2 linked regions of the Daphnia pulex genome follow. The protein of the gene in region 1 interacts with the protein of each later gene in a pairwise test. Links are inferred from orthologs where the notes say so. Each region holds a gene or a part of one and is shown in the gene's direction. Other genes may lie near its edges.

The links. The genes of interacting proteins can lie anywhere in the genome.
Region 2: the proteins of B-cell lymphoma/leukemia 11A-like (region 1) and nuclear receptor subfamily 2 group E member 1-like interact in a two-hybrid assay, tested with the Homo sapiens proteins (2 studies listed by BioGRID). The link is inferred for Daphnia pulex from reciprocal best matches to the Homo sapiens genes BCL11A and NR2E1.

What each region holds. Positions count from the first base shown.
Region 1 is NC_060022.1:6,798,394-6,801,893, forward strand, and holds part of B-cell lymphoma/leukemia 11A-like, read left to right. Parts: intron 1-2,043; coding exon 2,044-3,500. UniProt on the Homo sapiens protein: Transcription factor. Associated with the BAF SWI/SNF chromatin remodeling complex. Binds to the 5'-TGACCA-3' sequence motif in regulatory regions of target genes, including a distal promoter of the HBG1 hemoglobin subunit gamma-1 gene.
Region 2 is NC_060019.1:13,052,338-13,056,388, forward strand, and holds nuclear receptor subfamily 2 group E member 1-like, read left to right. Parts: upstream 1-1,251; 5' UTR 1,252-1,436; coding exon 1,437-1,503; intron 1,504-1,576; coding exon 1,577-1,677; intron 1,678-1,799; coding exon 1,800-1,935; intron 1,936-2,003; coding exon 2,004-2,446; intron 2,447-2,876; coding exon 2,877-3,333; intron 3,334-3,399; coding exon 3,400-3,644; 3' UTR 3,645-3,901; downstream 3,902-4,051. UniProt on the Homo sapiens protein: Orphan receptor that binds DNA as a monomer to hormone response elements (HRE) containing an extended core motif half-site sequence 5'-AAGGTCA-3' in which the 5' flanking nucleotides participate in determining receptor specificity.

The sequences.
Region 1 (3,500 bases):
CAGTCAAGTGATTCATCGGCCGACTCCGATACATTTTTTCAGCTGCATTTATTTGATGAGGAAAAAGAGAGGCGCTGGATGGGAAACAACAACGGCAACAAAACAATCGTCGTGTATATTCGTCGGGGTCTAGATAACTAGCTAGCCCCGTAGACATGCTAGCCGTCCATCACGGCCGGGAGCTTTTATCTCTCGATCGACGACGATCGAATACATCTTCATGTTGCACACATGAGAAAGTTTAAGGGGAGAGAGAGAGAGAGAGAGAGACGGAATGAATAGAGAGGATCGTGATTTGTGTTCTTATAGCCCTTCGTTGTTTGACTTTTGTTTATCCTCCTTCGTCCGAGAAACAATACAAAAGAAAACAATAAATAAATAAGAGAAGGAAAACAAATTTCGAACTCGAGGGTAAATGAATGCTTAACACTCGTCTCGGAAAAGATATAAAGAGGAACGACAATGAGCAGAAGGAAATTGGAGAGAGAGAGAGAGAGAGAGAGAGAGAACCAACATCCACGACATGCCGAGATAATCAGTATCGTGATGTGAATATATTTCAAAGGAGGAGGATACAAGTACGTGGAAGTCTGGAACTTGAAAGAAAAAGAGGAATGCCGATCATGTAAATACCCCGTTTCATGGATGTTTCCTTTCTTTTTATGAAGCGATCCAACAACACAATAGGCCTATCCCTGGATCATACGTAATATGCCACAGATGATCACTGTAATTTAACAGCACGAAAAAAGCGTGTTGTCTGCCAGTTTAATTGTTGTCCTTTTTGATTCCCTGACATTAGTTCAAACAAGAAATGAAATATCTAATTTTTACGAAGTCCCAATGACAAAATAATTTTTTTTTGTATGAGAAAATGAACCTGTGCAGATTATAGTCTGTTTGACCGATCCATAACTGCTGTATAGCTGCAACTCGGATGTTGTTGTTTTTTTGGAGTTGATGCTACAGCTGCCTGGGTCTTTTTCTCCGGTCGCGACATCTTGCACCCACTGTGACACACATGCACAAAATTGAACCGTATAGCTCATTTTCGAACAGAGAATAGGGATTTCTTTCTTTCTCGTTTTTTCCCATTTTTTTGTGTGTGGTTCGAACCTTTATTATCTCTAGCGGTTATTCATCCACCTCAAAAAAGTAAAGGTTTTTACGCGGTAGGCTGCACATTTCCAGCTTCCCCCTTTTCAGCTGGGGAGCCCTCGAATCCCGTTAACCCTCCGCGTCCCTTCTTGCCCGCTTGTAATATCGCACAGTCTCCTTATCGTTTTTTGTGTGCATGCGTGTTGTTGTTGTCCATCTTTCACCCCTTTCCACACGTGTTTTTGATGTGTTCTCGTACGCATATCGTCCTAATTCTTCCTCTCTCCCACCCGGTGTGTGTGTGTGTGTGTGGTGTTGGAACAAGGACGTGGTTGACGAACGGTACAAGGAGGAGCCCCTCCTTTTTATTTTTCATTCGACTTGCATCTGCTTCCCTACATTATGTGTGGGTGAGGGTGAAGAAGAAGGAGGGGGTGACACAAAAAACTCGTGTTTACGTCAGTTCTACATATATAACGGATCTAATGTATAAAGAGTAGAAAAAAGAGGGAAATAGAGAGAGAACCAGATCCTCTTTCCTATAAATGCAAAACAAAATAGGAAAGAAAAAACAACATACGTAGCTGCTACAGTTGTGTACGTTTCCAACCCTTTTGCACCGTACACTGTATTATACCATATATGTAGATACATAATATAGAATACCGTTATACCCATGTCGCATTTTGTATTCCATATTCCATAAACGTATTGCATCCCCCCCACTCCCCTCTCTCCGGATTTTACTTGAAATGAAAAATCCAACATAATGCCCAACATTATTCAGGCTTTGGTTTTTTTTATTATTGTAATCGAGACTGTATTGTAAACGGAATTTGCGTGTTCCACACCGATTAGCTATTGATAGTTAAAAGCTTCGATTTATGTATATAAAGAAGATCAAATCTAACAAATTTTCTTTGTCTGTTTTGTTCTTTTATATAGAACCGGCCTCGTACGTCTGTTCTACATGCCAGCGACGTTTCCGCAGCGCTTGGATTCTGCTGCAACATGTCCAGAACGACCACGGTGTCCGGATCTACGTGCCGGACGGCTGCGGCGATTGGTCTGAACGTTCGGGAGCCACTGGCTACTCGTCGTCGTCGTCGTCCAACCACAAGAAATGCCCGACGCCTTTGTCGCCGCACGCTGCCGCCTCAGCTCACCATCACCACCACCACCAACAGCAGCTGCAGCAGCAGCAGCACCAGCACCAACAGGCCCATTCGGCCCATCATCTGCACGGCCTCAACCCAGCGTCGTTTGCCCCTCTGGCCGCCGCGTTGGCCAACCACCACCGCTCGACAGAGTCGGCGTCGTCGGGATCGGGTCAACGACTCACCAATTCGACGCCGCACTCGGTGGCCTCTCTGGCCGCTTCGTCGATGACCTCATCGATGCAACATCTGCCCTTCCCGTTACCTCACACGCGTCTGCCGCCTTCTTCGTCCAACAACAGCAGTGGCACCAGTAGTCATTCAGCGCGGACGTGCGGAAGCGGATCCACATCCGTCAACATGTCTGCCCACTTGCCATCGCCCGTTTCATTCCCCATGCTTCTCTCCGGCCTTGGCCAGCACTCGCACCAAATTTCGGCCGGATTGGATCCGCACATGCCGTTCGGTCTCTTGCGGCTGCCACTCGGCGAGCGACACTCGTTTGGCGCCTCTCTCAATGCCCAGCCGGCCGGCTATCCTCCGCGACCGTCTAGTCACGATCTGCTCCTCCGTGGTGGAGGAGGAGGAGGAGGAGGAAACGTGGGCGGTTCGTCCGCTAGCGCCGCCAGCGCCGAAAGCTTGATGCCTGAACACTTTCGTGCCGGGCTTCACGGGCTGTCGAGCCTGAATTCGTCCGGAATCTCATTCCCACCGCCGATCCAGGAATCTTTCGTCGGAGAGAGACCCACTCCTCCGGCCACCACTCCTTCAACGCCTCCCACCACCACGACGGCCACCTCCGTTTCAGCGGCGGCTCCCAGCATTCCGTCGACTGCAGCCAAAGATTCGGCCGATTTTTATTCACAGCGACTGCGCCAACTGGCCGGTAACGGACCTGAAAGTCCCAAAGCCAACGGACCTTCTTCCCGGTCCCGCTCCCCATCGCCCAGCTCGGCTAAAATGACGACGGCCAGCCCGCTCACGTCGCCAGTCGAGTCCAAGGCCAAGTCAGGGGACAACTCGACGCCGACGAGACCTTCGTTGCCGGCCACTGCAGGTGAGCCAGCCACCGAGGAATCCTTCTCGACGTCCAGCCCCAAATCCAGCGGAGACGTGCTAAGAGCATCGAGTCCGGCCGTGCGCGAACAACCAATGACGATGAAATGCTCAACTTGCGATTTCCGCTGTGCCACAACCATTGAACTGCGGCGGCACATCAGGACGCACCGTCGCATCCAGCGCGGC
Region 2 (4,051 bases), on another chromosome or scaffold:
TATCTAGCAGGTCGGAGGTATAAAAGAAACACAAATCATTATCCTAGCAGTGGTAGTAACATTACTGCTGATGCCAGGTTAATACCAACACAAACTTGAACATCTTGTTGGTTAACGATGTCTGGCAAATCTGCACAAAGGAAAAGGTTATGTAACAGCAAACAAACAACCATGGATCGACAGGGGGCTTACATGATGGAATTTAAGTTAGGAACTCACATTTCACAAAATTTGAACCGGTCTAACTATTCTATTTAAGTTTACATTATCATACTATTTGCAATTTTAATTTGATTCACCTGCTAAACAGCATAGACCGCATCGACGATGTAACAAGCGATTCTATTGAGACGCGACCAGAATTGAAACGACCAGACGCGACCACCACATTAATTGTAATTTCATTTGCCTTGCTATTTTTGGTGCAGCCACGTTTCCAAAAAAGTTACTGTTCCATTTCCTTTGTTGAAACCATCGAAACTGCCTGATTTCGAAACGTGTTGACGAATGCAGACGCGCCAATATTCTAATTAGCCATTGTCTAAGATATCGATAGTTAAAAATGATTGAAAGAGTTAACCGAGTAACTTGAACGAACTACATAAATTATTGTATTATTGTTGACCGAAATCCCCACAATAAGACCCTAGATAGACTTAAAAATAATGAAACGGAAATTCGTAAATATAAATAAACCATATGAAGGATCATTCCCCTCTCGACTATTTGGATGATTAACGATATGATTGCAACAAGTTATCGATCAATGAAATGTCATTATTTGATTTCGTCTGCAATCAAATAGGCGGTCCCAAGTCGTTTTGCCATTTTTCTTGGAAGGAGGCGACTTCTTTTGCTTCTGCTGTTGATTTCCAGTGAAGAAAAGAAATGGCAAAGAGGCAAAAATGTGTGTCAATGGCAACGACTGCTGTGGATGGTCAAAAAAGTAAAGGAAAGCCATGACTTGCTGGTGGCAAAGAAGAAGAGCCATGGGATTTGATTTGTCCTCCTGGCTGCCAAAGGATGGGCGAGAGGGCGGGCAAAGAGTAAGGCCTGACGGCCAAATGGAAGAAGCCCTTTTGGGTTGACTGGGCGGATCAAAGGTCACCCCCTCCAAACCCCCCCTACCCACTCCCTTTCCATCTCCTTTGTAACCCCCCCTCTCACCCTATAGCACACCCATTGCCTATGTACGTATTTTTCTACCCCCACCCTGGGCTGTGACTTGACGGGACTCGCCCGACGTCAAAAGGCCCAAATCTCGGTCCACTTTTCAACAGTTGCCAACCATCTGCCCAGCGAGTCAGGTCGTCTCTCGTGTTTCCTCTCAACGACCTCATCTCTTCCGGACTTTTGTGTGTTTTCTCTTCTCTCACAACCAAGAAAAGATTTTTGCGGATTTTTCCGGTTTTTACATTTCGTGAAAGTTTCGACCAATGAAGTCCTCACCAGTCGACATGGATCTCCGTCTCAGCCAAAAGAGCTCCAACTCAACTCCGTCCAGTAAGTTCACAACATTTCTTGCCAATCCGCCAGAAATTGAGGAAATTTAAAAATTTTGGTTTTTCTCCTTCAGGCCGGATCCTGTACGATATTCCGTGCAGAGTGTGCCAGGATCATTCCTCTGGCAAACATTACGGCATCTTTGCTTGCGATGGATGCGCCGGATTCTTCAAGGTACGTTGATGGACACAACATCATTTTTCCGCAAAAGTTTCTTGTTTTTGACATTGTTGCCAGTGCGTTGTGGGACCAGATTGTTGACTTGTTTTCTCTTCTTCTTCTATTCCATCATATAGCGTTCCATTCGCCGGAATCGCCAGTACGTTTGCAAGGCCAAGAGTGAGGGGGCCTGTTTGGTTGATAAGACCCACCGCAACCAATGCCGGGCCTGCCGACTCCGCAAATGCGTTGAAGTTGGAATGAACAAAGATGGTAAGTGAATTACACATCATCAGCCAATCAACTGGAATGTTAATTAATTAATTTCTCTTCATATTTAGCCGTTCAACACGAACGCGGACCAAGGAACTCGACTCTGCGCCGCCAAATGTCCATGTTCTACTCGATGAAAGGATCGACTTCGTCGTCGCCGGAAAACAACAACGGATCGGCCGACGCCGACAGTCCGCCACCGTCGACCGGTCGGGCTAGCCCGTTGATGCCGTCGGGAATGACTACGCCCCCGTCGTCGTCCACTTCGATCCCCATGTTCCGTCCGCAGCAAATGGGCGCCTTTTCGCCACCGGCCACTTCGACGCCGACCAGCAACACGGTCCTCAGCGTCTCATCTTCACCTCCGTCCAGTTTGCTCAACTGCCCAACGGCCGACCACCACCACCACCACCTGTCCCATCACTTGACCCTGGCCGAAAGGATGTCCATGTCCCTGTTGTCTCATCACGCAGCCCGGCCCATGAACCTCTTGTGCGCTCCTCAGCCCAAGGTACATCATCATCTCTTTATTTCACCACACAATTCTGGGAATAGTCGCAATTAACTGTGGGATTGGATTAGCCAAACAAAAGTAGAGAAGAGATCAACAAATTTGCAATGGACAGGGTTAAAGAAACAACAAAGAACTTTTTCTTTTGGAATTTTCTCAAACTAAAATGGGCCACTGACTTTTTCACATACCTGACGCAAGGTCGATTGGGAATTTGACCTCACCTGAGATTACCAAAAAGTCACACAGTTGTTTCTATTTCCATTCTACTTTTGGTCATTGTTTTTTTACTTTTCCAGCTTTTAATCCGATAGGCTTATCTAATTGAAGTCGTTTTCTGATTATTATTATTCTCGGCTAATGAGCATTTCTTGGGGGAATCTTCTTTTATTCGATTGGATAGTTGAATTAACCATTTCTATTTTTGCAGTATCCACATGAAATGTTCAACGCCGTTCCGGCCGCTGCCGCCGCCGCCATGATGCCGTGGAACTTTAGTCCCGAAACCATTTGCGAATCAGCTGCCCGTTTGCTTTTCATGAACGTGCGATGGGCCAAGAGCGTGCCAGCTTTCACGACCCTGCCATCCCGCGACCAAATCATCTTGTTGGAGGAGAGCTGGAGGGAACTGTTTGTCCTGGGCGCCGCTCAATTCACGCTGCCCATCGAAGCTGGCACGTTGATGACGGCGCTAGGCCTCAGCAGCTCACCTTTCGGTCTGAGTGGCATGCCCTGCCCGCCCACAATGCCGGCCGTCAGCACCGAGCGCCAGTTAGGCCTCCTCAGCGAAATCAAGGCCTTCCAGGAAACGGTGGCCAAGTTCAAACAAATGAACGTCGACGCCACCGAATACGCTTGTCTCCGCGCCGTCATTCTCTTCAAAACCTGTAAGTTCATTTTTTTTTATTTCATTAGAATTCTCGAAACTCATTTTTTCTTTTTAATTCTAATAGCTGCTGGATTACGAGATATTCCATCCGCCGTCAATTTGCAAGACCAGGCCCAGTTGACGCTGAGCCGTTACGTTTCGACGGCCTACCCGAACCAGCCGCTCCGCTTCGGCCGTCTTTTGCTCCTCCTGCCCGCTCTGCGCACCATCGCTCCTTCGACGATCGAAGAATTGTTTTTCCGCAAGACGATCGGCAACATCCCCATCGAGCGCATCATCAGCGACATGTACAAGTCTGGTGATTTGTAAAACAGAAAAATGCCTTTAAAAACATTGTGTTTCACCTAATAATTAACCGTTTATGTAATTTACCCTGCCATGTTGTACAAACTTGTACAAAGAAATTTAAATTTAAAAAAATCAGGAAATCAGAGAAAACCGTTTTTGATATTTTTGTCATTTGCTCAGAAATAGCGTCCAGCATTTTTTTTTGGGGTCCCATTTGCCAGTTGTGTGTATTTGATTGTTTCATTTCAAACTCTCTTCAATACAAGTTATTCCCATTTAAAGCCTCCACGTCATGTTTGCCGAGAAGAAACGCCGCCATATGTCCATTGACTCACCGCAAATGGCCGACAACTTTTTTTTCCCAAAAGAAAAAAGTTTGAATTGAATTGAATCACTCCCCCCTTCCGTGAATGATGTGGTGGTTGATG